2 linked regions of the Saccharomyces cerevisiae S288C genome follow. The gene in region 1 interacts genetically with each later gene. Each region holds a gene or a part of one and is shown in the gene's direction. Other genes may lie near its edges.

Region 1 (7,386 bases):
CCTACAACGTAAATGGCAGTAACTGTAATCAATCCAATACGACGACCATATATATCACCGACTTTTGACAAGACAATTCCGCCTATGGCGCAGCCAATGTTGAATATTGAGACGATCAAACCCATTCTTACTTTCGATAAGTAGTAGGTTCCCTTGTCATTTTTTTGACCGAACCTTCTGATGAAATCAGAAAGGTTAACAAAACCAGAAATGGTACCGGTATCCCAACCAAAGATGAAGCCGCCAAATGCAATCATCAAACACAGGATTGCGACGGTGGTATACGCAGAGAGGGGTTTTTGAGGTAAGTCAATAGGTGGCTCATTGGCATCTAGGTTAAGGGAATTTTTAGAGTCACCGTGTTCAGTCTTAACAGAGGGAGCGCCTACTGCTGAGTTAGAGTTAGACATGGTAGTAGATAACTCATTTGCGGATGTATTATTAACACCTGACATGATATTGAGTAATAACAAAAGCGTTTAGAACTAAATTGTGCAATGATTATTTTTTTCAACTCATACCAAAAAAAGAAGAAGAAAAAGATAGGAACAAGTGTGCTCTTCTCTAGTTACACAACTGTGACATTATATACCTTTAATTAGCGAAAAAGAGGAACTGAGAAAGATGAGCCTAGACCTTAAGAGCTAAGTAGTATACGGTGTGTCGAACTGCTACTGATACTTTGAACGAAGGTGTCCGAGTGTATGCATTGTTCGTGTGGTCAGCATTTATTGTGGAGGAGGCGGTTTCATCTACAATTTCCGACGCCTGATTTTCCACGGATATAATTTATTTTTTGACACCTGGAGTTTACATTTCACAAAATTTCTTTCTTTTTTAGTTTTGCACTGATTTCCCCTGAAATAAAGAAAAAAAAGAAAAAGAAGGTTTTGTGAAGTGCCAAGGGATGCACGAGAAAAGCACTTATAACTCGCACGGAGAAATGATTATGTAATTTTCGCGGAGAAATGATTATGTAATTCCGCGGAGAAATGGTTATGTAATTTTTGTGGGGAACTGAACAAGGTCAGTTTACGCTTCGTACTTTGTCGTGGGACTACGTATACGCAAGATTGCGGAGGCAGTGCAATAATGGGGTCTGCTTGCAGATGGTATGATCTGCTATAACGGGCCAAGGGCCAGGCACGCTCTTGCAGAACATACCATGTTATATCATGTAGGTTGTGCAAACATTACCTAAAACTGAAAGCTTCGTTTACATACAGCACTCCTTCCAGATCCTAAATTTACTTTGTTCTTTTCTTATTTTCGATCATTCGTAAGACGTCCATAGGCACGTAAAAGACATATATAAGTAAGAAAGACTTCTTCACTCGAGGAATTAGCTGTACTAGAATATATGTTCCATTCACCAGTCCAAACACACAAACAAAAGTGAAAGTTTTTTCATAAAGAAAAGAAAGCAACGTACAATGACTATTTCTTCTGCACATCCAGAAACAGAACCCAAGTGGTGGAAAGAGGCCACAATCTATCAAATTTATCCCGCAAGTTTCAAAGACTCCAACAACGATGGGTGGGGTGATATGAAGGGTATTGCCTCCAAGTTGGAGTATATCAAAGAGCTTGGTGCCGATGCCATTTGGATCTCACCATTCTACGACTCGCCACAAGATGATATGGGTTACGATATTGCCAACTACGAAAAGGTCTGGCCAACCTACGGTACGAACGAGGACTGCTTTGCCTTGATCGAAAAGACACATAAGCTTGGTATGAAATTTATCACCGACTTAGTCATCAACCATTGCTCGAGCGAACATGAATGGTTCAAAGAGAGCAGATCCTCAAAAACCAATCCAAAACGTGACTGGTTCTTCTGGAGACCTCCTAAGGGTTATGACGCCGAAGGCAAGCCAATTCCTCCAAACAATTGGAGGTCTTACTTCGGTGGTTCTGCATGGACGTTCGATGAAAAGACACAAGAGTTTTACTTGCGTTTGTTTTGCTCCACCCAACCTGATTTGAATTGGGAGAATGAGGACTGTAGAAAGGCAATCTACGAAAGTGCCGTTGGATACTGGTTAGACCATGGTGTAGACGGCTTTAGAATTGATGTGGGAAGCTTGTACTCCAAGGTTGCTGGTCTACCAGACGCTCCTGTGATTGACGAAAACTCAAAGTGGCAACCCAGTGATCCTTTCACAATGAACGGACCACGTATCCATGAGTTTCATCAAGAAATGAACAAGTTCATCAGAAACAGAGTGAAGGATGGCAGAGAAATTATGACAGTTGGTGAAATGCAACATGCTACTGATGAAACCAAGAGGTTGTATACAAGTGCATCAAGACACGAACTTAGTGAGTTATTCAACTTTTCCCACACTGATGTCGGGACTTCGCCCAAGTTCCGTCAAAATTTGATCCCATATGAACTAAAGGATTGGAAGGTTGCCCTTGCTGAACTTTTCAGATACGTTAACGGAACTGATTGTTGGTCAACAATTTATCTGGAAAATCACGACCAACCTCGTTCAATTACCAGATTTGGTGACGATTCTCCTAAGAACCGTGTTATTTCTGGTAAGTTGTTGTCTGTGTTGTTGGTGTCACTGAGCGGTACTCTATATGTGTACCAAGGACAGGAACTGGGTGAAATCAATTTCAAGAACTGGCCTATCGAAAAATACGAGGATGTCGAAGTTAGAAATAACTATGATGCGATCAAGGAAGAGCATGGAGAAAACTCGAAGGAGATGAAGAGGTTTTTGGAAGCAATTGCCCTTATTTCCAGAGACCATGCTAGAACACCTATGCAATGGTCTCGTGAGGAGCCAAATGCTGGTTTTTCTGGTCCTAATGCTAAACCATGGTTTTACTTGAACGAGTCTTTCAGGGAAGGAATTAACGCTGAAGACGAATCCAAGGATCCCAACTCGGTTTTGAACTTCTGGAAGGAGGCCTTGAGATTTAGAAAGGCACACAAGGATATTACTGTATATGGATATGATTTTGAGTTTATTGATTTGGACAATAAGAAACTGTTCAGCTTCACAAAGAAATACGACAACAAAACATTGTTTGCTGCTTTGAACTTCAGCTCTGATTCGATTGACTTCACGATTCCAAACAATAGCTCGTCGTTTAAGTTGGAATTCGGAAACTACCCAAGAAGCGAAGTTGATGCGTCTTCCAGAACATTGAAGCCATGGGAGGGCAGAATTTACATATCTGAATGATTGATGATTGTGACGACAAGATTTTTATACATATACATATACTTATTTTTATCTATGTTACATACCGCACTTTAAATAGTAACGACATATATCTGGTAGTGCGGTATGAGTTATGTAATACACTAAAGTATAGTTTTGTGTAGCATTTTCCATATGTCCTTGCATTGGTATTGTATTATAATAATGCTGAGAGAAGGGTTACTCTATAGCTCATTTGGCCAGATAATACGGCGAGTTATGTGCATATAAGAACAAGTACTAGTGAAATTATATATTATTGTTTATGATCAACAGAATCATCTCTACTACACACTGCATTATGAACTGCAGCCACATTTATCTAAGGGCGGAACGTACCTATGAAATGTCTCTACTACTTTTATGAAGATACTGATTTTTAGTTTGTCACAAATTTTACGATTCTGAAAACACATATACTTTCTTTTATGTTGATAGAGCAATAACACAATGGCCATTTAAAATCTAGCCAGCAAAATATATTCACCGGTTCGTACAATCTCATTTACTATTCCCTCTGAACGTCTTGACTTTGCTCCGCCAGCAAATTTTCCAATCCAACATGCAAGTCACGAAATGACGAATGAAGGCTGTATCAATCGTTCCTAACTGAGGATGGCTGAATAAAAATGAAGGGAAATTCTACGACAGTTTTAATTAGTTAATGAAGGGGTGTGAAAAAGTTAGAAAAAAAAAAAGTCAAATTCAGGAGAATAGACAAGCCTACATTTTCTGTAGTTCAAAACTTTTTATGGTTTGACTTTGTTTTTTTTTTTTTTCGTTTTTCTTTTTTAGTTGAACTAATGGGACCCTCAAACCTAAAATTTTCCGTTTTCGTTTAATCCTCGCATCATATATACCAAATAAGGACACAGGGTTTTCAGTGAGCAAATGTAAGGGTTTCTATGGATTATAAGCCCTTCGGATCAGAAACAGGGTTCCGTAGTTTGGGCAAGAATTGCCCTTAGTCCTGAGTCAACTGCAAAAATCTGTTTAAATTATTGCACCCAAATGTGATACAAATGTATACTATTATAGAGGCTGCCACGGCTTACAATTGCACCCCTCTGTGGCTTTTGAGTGGCGAAGGGTCTATGTTTGGATAATAGAGATGACTTATTTAATTGAAATGATGGTTTGGGTCCTAGCAGAACTCTAATATAGCAAAAAAGTGCTCGTGAATGTCTCTCTGAAAATGCTGGAAACTGATCACTCTAGGAATGACAATTTAGACGATAAAAGCACTGTCTGCTACAGCGAAAAGACAGATAGCAATGTTGAGAAGTCTACCACGTCTGGCTTGCGCCGTATAGACGCTGTCAACAAGGTCTTGTCTGACTACAGCTCTTTCACAGCTTTTGGAGTTACGTTTAGTTCACTCAAGACCGCCCTACTGGTGGCTCTGTTTTTGCAGGGTTACTGTACTGGACTCGGAGGGCAGATTTCGCAATCAATACAAACCTATGCCGCTAACAGTTTTGGAAAGCATTCTCAAGTAGGATCGATCAATACCGTCAAATCAATAGTAGCCTCTGTTGTCGCAGTGCCATACGCACGTATATCTGATCGGTTTGGACGTATAGAATGCTGGATTTTTGCGCTTGTGCTCTATACTATTGGAGAAATTATTTCTGCTGCTACTCCAACGTTTTCCGGACTTTTTGCAGGTATTGTTATACAACAGTTCGGTTATTCTGGATTTCGTCTTCTTGCTACAGCACTGACTGGTGATCTGTCTGGATTGAGAGATCGTACATTTGCGATGAACATATTTCTGATTCCCGTGATTATAAACACATGGGTAAGTGGAAATATTGTTAGCTCAGTTGCTGGTAATGTTGCACCATATAAATGGCGTTGGGGCTATGGAATTTTTTGCATCATTGTGCCCATCTCCACCCTAATATTGGTCCTTCCCTATGTGTATGCTCAGTACATTTCCTGGCGCAGCGGTAAGTTACCACCATTAAAATTGAAAGAAAAAGGACAGACCCTGCGTCAAACGCTCTGGAAATTTGCGGATGACATAAACTTAATTGGAGTCATTCTTTTCACTGCTTTCTTAGTTTTAGTATTATTACCTCTCACAATAGCTGGTGGAGCCACCTCCAAATGGAGAGAGGGTCACATTATTGCAATGATTGTGGTTGGTGGCTGCTTAGGTTTTATCTTTCTAATTTGGGAATTAAAATTTGCTAAGAATCCATTTATCCCACGAGTATATCTAGGTGATCCAACCATCTACGTTGCATTGCTAATGGAATTTGTATGGCGTCTAGGTTTGCAGATTGAGTTAGAGTATTTGGTCACCGTGTTAATGGTAGCATTCGGAGAATCAACATTAAGTGCGCAGCGGATAGCTCAGCTTTACAATTTTCTACAGTCATGCACTAATATTGTTGTCGGCATTATGCTGCATTTCTATCCTCATCCGAAAGTCTTTGTAGTCGCTGGGTCGCTTCTTGGTGTCATCGGAATGGGTCTTTTGTACAAATACAGGGTGGTATATGACGGGATTTCGGGTCTTATTGGCGCTGAGATTGTGGTCGGTATAGCTGGTGGTATGATACGTTTTCCTATGTGGACGCTAGTGCACGCTTCAACCACCCACAATGAGATGGCAACTGTCACTGGGTTACTAATGTCCGTTTATCAAATCGGAGACGCAGTAGGTGCTTCCATCGCTGGTGCTATATGGACTCAGCGTCTGGCAAAGGAGTTGATACAGCGACTCGGCTCTAGTTTAGGGATGGCAATCTACAAATCACCACTCAATTATCTAAAAAAATACCCTATTGGATCAGAGGTTCGTGTTCAGATGATAGAATCCTATTCGAAGATTCAACGCTTATTGATAATTGTGTCCATTTCGTTTGCGGCTTTCAATGCTGTTCTCTGTTTTTTCTTGCGTGGCTTTACTGTAAACAAGAAGCAAAGTCTTTCCGCAGAAGAACGAGAGAAAGAGAAGCTCAAAATCAAACAACAATCATGGCTCCGTCGTGTAATTGGATATTGAGCTGGAGAGTACTAGCGATACAAATATAGTGTTAAGCTCTTTCCTGAACTAGAATTCTCTTTGAAATAATCACTGTTAATGTAAGTAGTAATCAATAATGGCGTGTAACAGTATAATATTGTTGTCTGAAATAAAAAACAACAAAAAGTTCGAATTAGTTTTATTTTATTTTTCTTTTCTAACTAAGTGAATATCCATACGTTTGTTACGTTTATTTCAGCAATATTATAGTCTTAAATGGGCTTGACAATACAAAAATCAATGAGATTATTCGCACCTGTCATTTCCCGTAGTTTTTATAAAGAAATATAAAAAAAAATGTTGCGAAGAACTTTTACTAGAGCGTAAACGAATTAAAAAAAATTAGTAGTGTAAATATAATCACCACCTGCCGTAAGCCTGCTTGAGCCCTTTATTATTTAGTTTTAGCTGTTGCTAACCTGACTTTCATACTTCTTATAATTGACGTCATAAAAAATATTCAAAGTTCGAAAGAATGAAGAAAACATTGACCGACTTAAAAGAAGCAGTAACCCCACGAAATTTTAACCAGTGCTGATTGTGCGAGAAATCGACTCCAACAGTCTCAGATCAGAGAATATATGAAATATTAGTGGCCCCATACTTATAATGGTTCGCTGATTAATGTATAACAAGCGTGAAAGTATGTATAGCTGCACGGATTGTAGATAGAGCTCATTTAATATTAGGTATTTTGCCCATGTCATTTTTGTGCAAGTCATTTTCTCCTTTGGAACTAAATTTTCTTTAAAATATCTCATATACAAAAAATCCTAACTCACAAGTTAATGTTTTCCATCATAAGTAGACGTTTATTTAAAACATGTTATTATATATTGATCCACTCTTTGCAGTGTCGTTTTCCTACAAAAATTAGATACTTAATCTTGAGGAGTGTAGAAATAAGTGAAGGCGACATAAAGATAGAGAAACAGCCATGAAATTTAGTGAAAGCTGACACTCAAGAATTAGGAATGTAATAAGATAATGAATCACAACATATAAAATGGAAAGTGAAGTAATAATACTATTCTATAGAATAATCGACGATCCTTCATGAATTGCTATATATCTGAGGAGAACTTCTAGCATATCCTGCATACCTAATATTATAGCCTTCAATAATAA
Region 2 (5,631 bases), on another chromosome or scaffold:
TTCATCCTTACGACGCCTCTTAAGTTGTCAAATCCACCTTGAGGTATCAATCATTTTCAATGAAAGGATTTCTTGATAGATGATACTAATAGTCCCGTTTTGTTTATAATCCGGGGCAAAGTCTAAATACCCGCCGAGCCTGCATCCATTCGTGGTACATGATATGTTAAAACTACAACAAGGCATAAAAAAGGGAAGTATATATGATTAATTATATATACGTAAAGGAAAAGATACGTAGTTAAAGATTGTTTTTGTTGGTATCAATGGAATCAAAGATGAGTGAAGAAGAAGCGCATAAAACAGTGGAGGTGGATGACGTCGGGGTTCAATTGGATGAGGGCGATGAAGAAGACCTTTTGGAGTATGATGATGAACTCGTGGAGGAACAACCATCGGACGCCCGTATACGCAACGTGGCAGAGACTTTAATGAAAAGCGAATTGCCCAAAGTCACCGTGGAATATAAAGATACTACATTTCTGTTGTTCACGTCGGATGATAAGAACGAAAGTAACAACCCCATAATATGTGAAAACGCTGCTCTTTATCAGCGACCCATGGGGGAATTCATGGAATCCATTCGTAAATTTATGGGAAATCGTTTTGGCAGGTTGGCTTTTGCTACGAAGGAGTTGGTTTTACAACTGAAAAGCCTCGATTTGACCTTGTTCGAAGATAATGTCTACAACAACCATATTTCATTCAGCGATGTTTATACTATATTTAAAATCCTGAAGGAAAGATCGGAGTCTAATTTTGAAACTGATATACCGACGCACTTGGCTATTGAATTAAGTACAAGGCCAAGATTTGTCTCTCGGTACAACGCCTTGGTTGAATTAACTGAAAGCTCAGCTACGTTGAAAAACATAAAGCCATTTTCTAACGATGAAACGCATCCCTTAATTGTGGATGACAATGACCAATATACACACCAGAATACTTCAGAAGTCATTGTAATGGACATAGATGATGACGTAGGTGAGGATTCTGAAGACTAAAGTAGCCATGTTTAATCAGCACTGATCGTGGGAAATCCTGATGTCCAACGGTGAGTTTCTGATTTCCCAGTCACGGATTCCTTTTGAGAATCTTCTCCCGCGAATAAATTATTGGCTCTGTGTAATATTTAAGGTCGCCTTCTTTTTCGTTTGTATAGTCAGCAGTTAAGTATTCATTAATTTTGGATGATGCAAAGGTCCATATTCGATTTCTGATAGCCCTTCCCCCTTTTTTGTAGCGAATTGTATTATTGTTTTGTATTGTTTTTTCGTCATTTTCTTCAATTTTTTTCAAGTTTTACTTTCGGAAGAATTGCTGAAAGTATTTTCTGTTAGGATATGTAAAATACAAGCATAAAATATGTTTCAGGAGAAGAAAATCACTCAATAGTGCCACACCATTGTTAACGAGCTCGAGTAATTGAATCAATTTAGAGAAATAGATCATATTACAAAAATACTATGATTATTGAACGTTGGGAAGTAAAGTTATCTAAATGTAACCAAAATGTGGGCGGCTATTCTGTTCTGTCAGGAAACTTAAAAGAAAACATCAAACTGGGAAGACGAGCACAAAAATATTTGAAAGAGCTAAGAAATTTGCAACTTAAACCACTGAAAATCGGAGGGTATGAAAACTGCGGCACGATCAATGGTGAAGAGTATTTTTTGGAGGTAATTCACATCACCTCTGGAAGACAAAAAATAGATGTAGCCGTTGGCAAAACATGGAATGTGACTAACATTGAGAATGACAACAAAGAAGAACTACAGTATGAGTTATTCAAGGAAAAGTTAAAAGTCGGGAAACAGGACATGTTATTTTTTAGCTGGATGAAAAGTCTTTCAGTTCAATTAAATGCTCCTCTTCACCAAAAAATGACGGAACACGGTTTGGCAGACGATAACACGAGGTTAGAGTGGTTCAACATCCCACTTCTCAGAAGAAGTCAATACAGGAAAAAGGTACCATATCCGAGTTTAAGACAAATGTCCTCTGTACTGGAAGTGCAATGCAGCACACTAACGGAGGAAAAGTTGAACTTCTGCGTTGGATTTTCTGATAAACCTTTGTCAGAATGGAAGCCCCAAATTTTTGAGCAAACCTACAATAGATACCGTTTACAACGGATCTCACCTGAGAAATCTTTCAAATATAAGAGTAGGTGCAGTAAGTACAATTTCAAGACCAGTTCGCAAAGCTGGGTTGTGAAAGTCCCAGAACATGATCAACAGCTTAATACGTTTGAAAAACGTTATGATGAACTCTTTGATGCTCAATTTAATAAACTAGAATTTTTTAAAATAAGAATGAAAAAATTGAAAAAGAATAAGCCAATTGAGAAAAAGAACTATAAAATATGGTGTCTAGAAAAAGAAGACCTAAAGGATTTGGTATGGGATCCTCTGAAAAGAATTTGCAATCATTCTAGGTATGCAATATTTGAGCATGTTACCATAAATAGGGAGGCCTATTCGATCAAACCATTAAGGTTAACTTTTCAAAAATTAGATTCCGGCTCCCTTGACCTGATCGATAATCAAAAAAAGACGTTTGGTAGTATAAAGCTTGCAATGAGTATGCCAGATGTAAAAAAAACTGAAAATCAGTCAATTGAAGAAAGTGAAAGACACGATGAAACTGCTATTGAAACCCAAGAATTTGATGAAAATGATTGTCTTTCATCTAAGGCGGATATTAATACATCATTAGCTCCTCAAAAGAGATCTTTCATCGATAATGAACTAATGTCCATGTTAGTCACCAAAAAAAAAATAAAGAAGGACAAGGATGTTAGTGACACCGGTATATCTTCCACTTCATACTTGATAAATTCTGGGACATATGCAAATTCTCATATTGAAATTCCTACCTCTAATTCAGTTTACAATGGAAAGGAAGATTGCTCATTTAATAACTACTCAGTAAAGCATTCAATATTGGAAGAAGATATTGAGAATAAATGCATAGCCGTAAATGAAAACAAGGTGATTGAGAACCAAAAGGTAATTCAGTCATTATGTAAAAATTCCCATCTAGACCTTATCGAACAATCTTACTTTGGCGAATGCGATTTCATTATAAACCATTCAACATGTGTATATAAAATTCAGGCGAGCCGATTTATGCAACTCAGAAATAACGGCTCATTGCATTACGATAAAGCGGTAAACGATCTTTTAACTGAATTTCAGAGAGTCATTATAATTGTGGAGTTTTCTGAAATAATACAAGACGTTGATCCTGATCTTTTCTGGAAAATCAAACTTTATTTATTGAATTCACGTGTTGATGTTTTTTTCATTCATGAGACTACTGACTTTTTTATTGATTGGATGAAATATTTCATTGCAAGATGGGCCTTTTCATATAACGATGAGAAAGAAAAAAATATTGCAAATGCCGATATTCTTCTAGATTTGGGATTTAACATCCTCTTAGTACGGAAAATTTTCCAGACATATAGTCTCGAAGAATTTTTTATGGCAATAATAAAGGAAGAAAGCAAAGCTGTTAAAATGCTTACGGTTTCACAAATGACTCGCCTGAAGAAGTTATTAACCTTAGAATGGTAAATCCAGCAAGGATCGTTACCCGGTAAACTATTTATACTACGCCTGCCTCTTTCGTTCTTCGACTACATGCTACAGTTAGTAAATTCAACCAAGGAAAATGTATTTATTAACATGAACTAGCCACCTAATTAACCCTTACCTTATTTTTTATACCCTTGGATCATCGGAGTATCTGTAGATCATATGTTAACGTATGTATAATATTACATCTGTCACAATAAACAACCCGAAAAAAATACCGCACGGAAAATGAGTTACTGATTAAGATGCACTTTTTGGTGAGGGTGCGTGACTTGAAACTAAAAATTACCAATAGTCAAACCCTTTCCATTTTCGAGGGAAGCAATATCTGAAATTTATATTTTTAGAAATTTCCAAGAGAAAGTGGCTTTTAACGAGGTTCTTCTTCTTCATCCCCTTTTTTACCAATATTCCTTTTTATGGTTGTATTCGAAATAACTATACTTGGGGCCAATGGAGGACCCACCGAATACGGAACACAGTGTTTTATACTTAAGCCTGCTAGAACAGAGGATCCAGAATTAATAGCTGTAGACGGTGGTGCAGGAATGTACCAGCTACGGGAGATGTTGGTCCAAGGGCGAAATGAAAATGAAGGTGATGATGAGCTTGTTCCAAGCTTTTATGAACATGATCGAGAGCCAATAGAGTTTTTTATTGATTCCAAACTGAACATACAAAAGGGATTATCCAAGTCCTTGCTACAATCATTAAAGAGGCAGGGAGAGCATTTTGAAAGCGCCAATACAATGAAGAAAACTTACGAGGTTTTCCAAGGAATTACCGACTACTACATTACCCATCCCCATCTGGACCATATTAGTGGGCTGGTAGTAAACTCCCCCTCAATATATGAGCAGGAAAACAGTAAAAAGAAAACTATTTGGGGATTACCGCATACTATTGACGTTTTGCAAAAGCATGTCTTTAATGACTTAATATGGCCAGATTTAACGGCAGAACGTTCAAGAAAATTGAAGCTAAAATGCTTGAATCCGAAGGAAGTTCAAAAGTGCACTATCTTTCCTTGGGATGTAATACCGTTCAAAGTTCATCATGGGATAGGCGTCAAGACTGGCGCGCCGGTATACAGCACCTTCTATATCTTCAGAGACAGGAAAAGCAAAGACTGTATAATAGTTTGCGGAGATGTTGAGCAGGACCGCAGAGAATCTGAAGAATCTCTACTTGAAGAATTTTGGTCTTACGTTGCTGAAAATATACCGCTTGTGCATCTCAAGGGTATATTAGTCGAATGTTCATGCCCATTATCTTCCAAGCCCGAGCAATTGTATGGTCATCTATCTCCAATATATTTAATCAACGAATTATCCAATTTGAACACTTTATACAACAGTAGTAAGGGATTAAGCGGTTTGAATGTTATCGTTACTCACGTTAAGTCAACACCTGCTAAAAGAGACCCAAGACTAACCATACTCGAAGAGTTACGATTTTTAGCTGAGGAGAGGAACTTAGGAGACTTGAGAATATCTATTGCGCTAGAAGGCCACACTTTGTTTCTATAATGTACACAACGTCAATAACATAATACTACGTAGATGAAAAGCGGAAAAATTCATTACCCGGGAGCAAGCAAAATACTAGTAGTAACTAATGAAACTTCTTTCCATTATTATTGATGAGTTAACTTATGTAGACTCATCTTTGAATCCCCTATCCCAACATAAGTCCCGGAATGGAACTCCGTAGTTTTTCTAGACAGCCTGATGGCATACTTGCTAACCCAAGATTGGGAAGGGAGGAAGTATTGGAAGGTGAACATCCGCAAGATGCTAGATTAGCCCGACAAAGCATTTGGTTGAGCCCAAGTTTAATTGCGGAGTATATACAGCTTTTTTTCAATTTTATTATAGGAACTATAGGACTGTCTCTTGCTATTAAATTCATTTTGATGATAAGAAACGATGTTAACTTAAAACTGGAGCATAACGTGAGGGAAGAATTAGATAAAATTGCAACTTGCAAATCAAGGTATTTTGAAAACCAGTGCGAACCTCATATGAGG

The links. A genetic interaction does not mean that the proteins touch.
Region 2: mutations in ENB1 (region 1) and PDE1 together harm fitness more than expected from each alone (negative genetic interaction), as found in Saccharomyces cerevisiae (2 studies listed by BioGRID).

The regions. Positions count from the first base shown.
Region 1 is NC_001147.6:18,342-25,727, reverse strand, and holds ENB1 (Enb1p), read left to right. Parts: upstream 1-4,416; coding exon 4,417-6,237; downstream 6,238-7,386. Other genes in the region: hexose transporter HXT11, read right to left, coding at 1-455; oligo-1,6-glucosidase IMA2, read left to right, coding at 1,434-3,203.
Region 2 is NC_001139.9:31,632-37,262, forward strand, and holds PDE1 (3',5'-cyclic-nucleotide phosphodiesterase PDE1), read left to right. Parts: upstream 1-4,021; coding exon 4,022-5,131; downstream 5,132-5,631. Other genes in the region: HFM1 (DNA helicase), read right to left, coding at 1-5; RMR1 (Rmr1p), read left to right, coding at 279-1,004; ZIP2 (Zip2p), read left to right, coding at 1,467-3,581; BRR6 (Brr6p), read left to right, coding at 5,302-5,631. UniProt on the Saccharomyces cerevisiae protein: Controls the level of cAMP in yeast cells, together with the high-affinity cAMP phosphodiesterase (PDE2).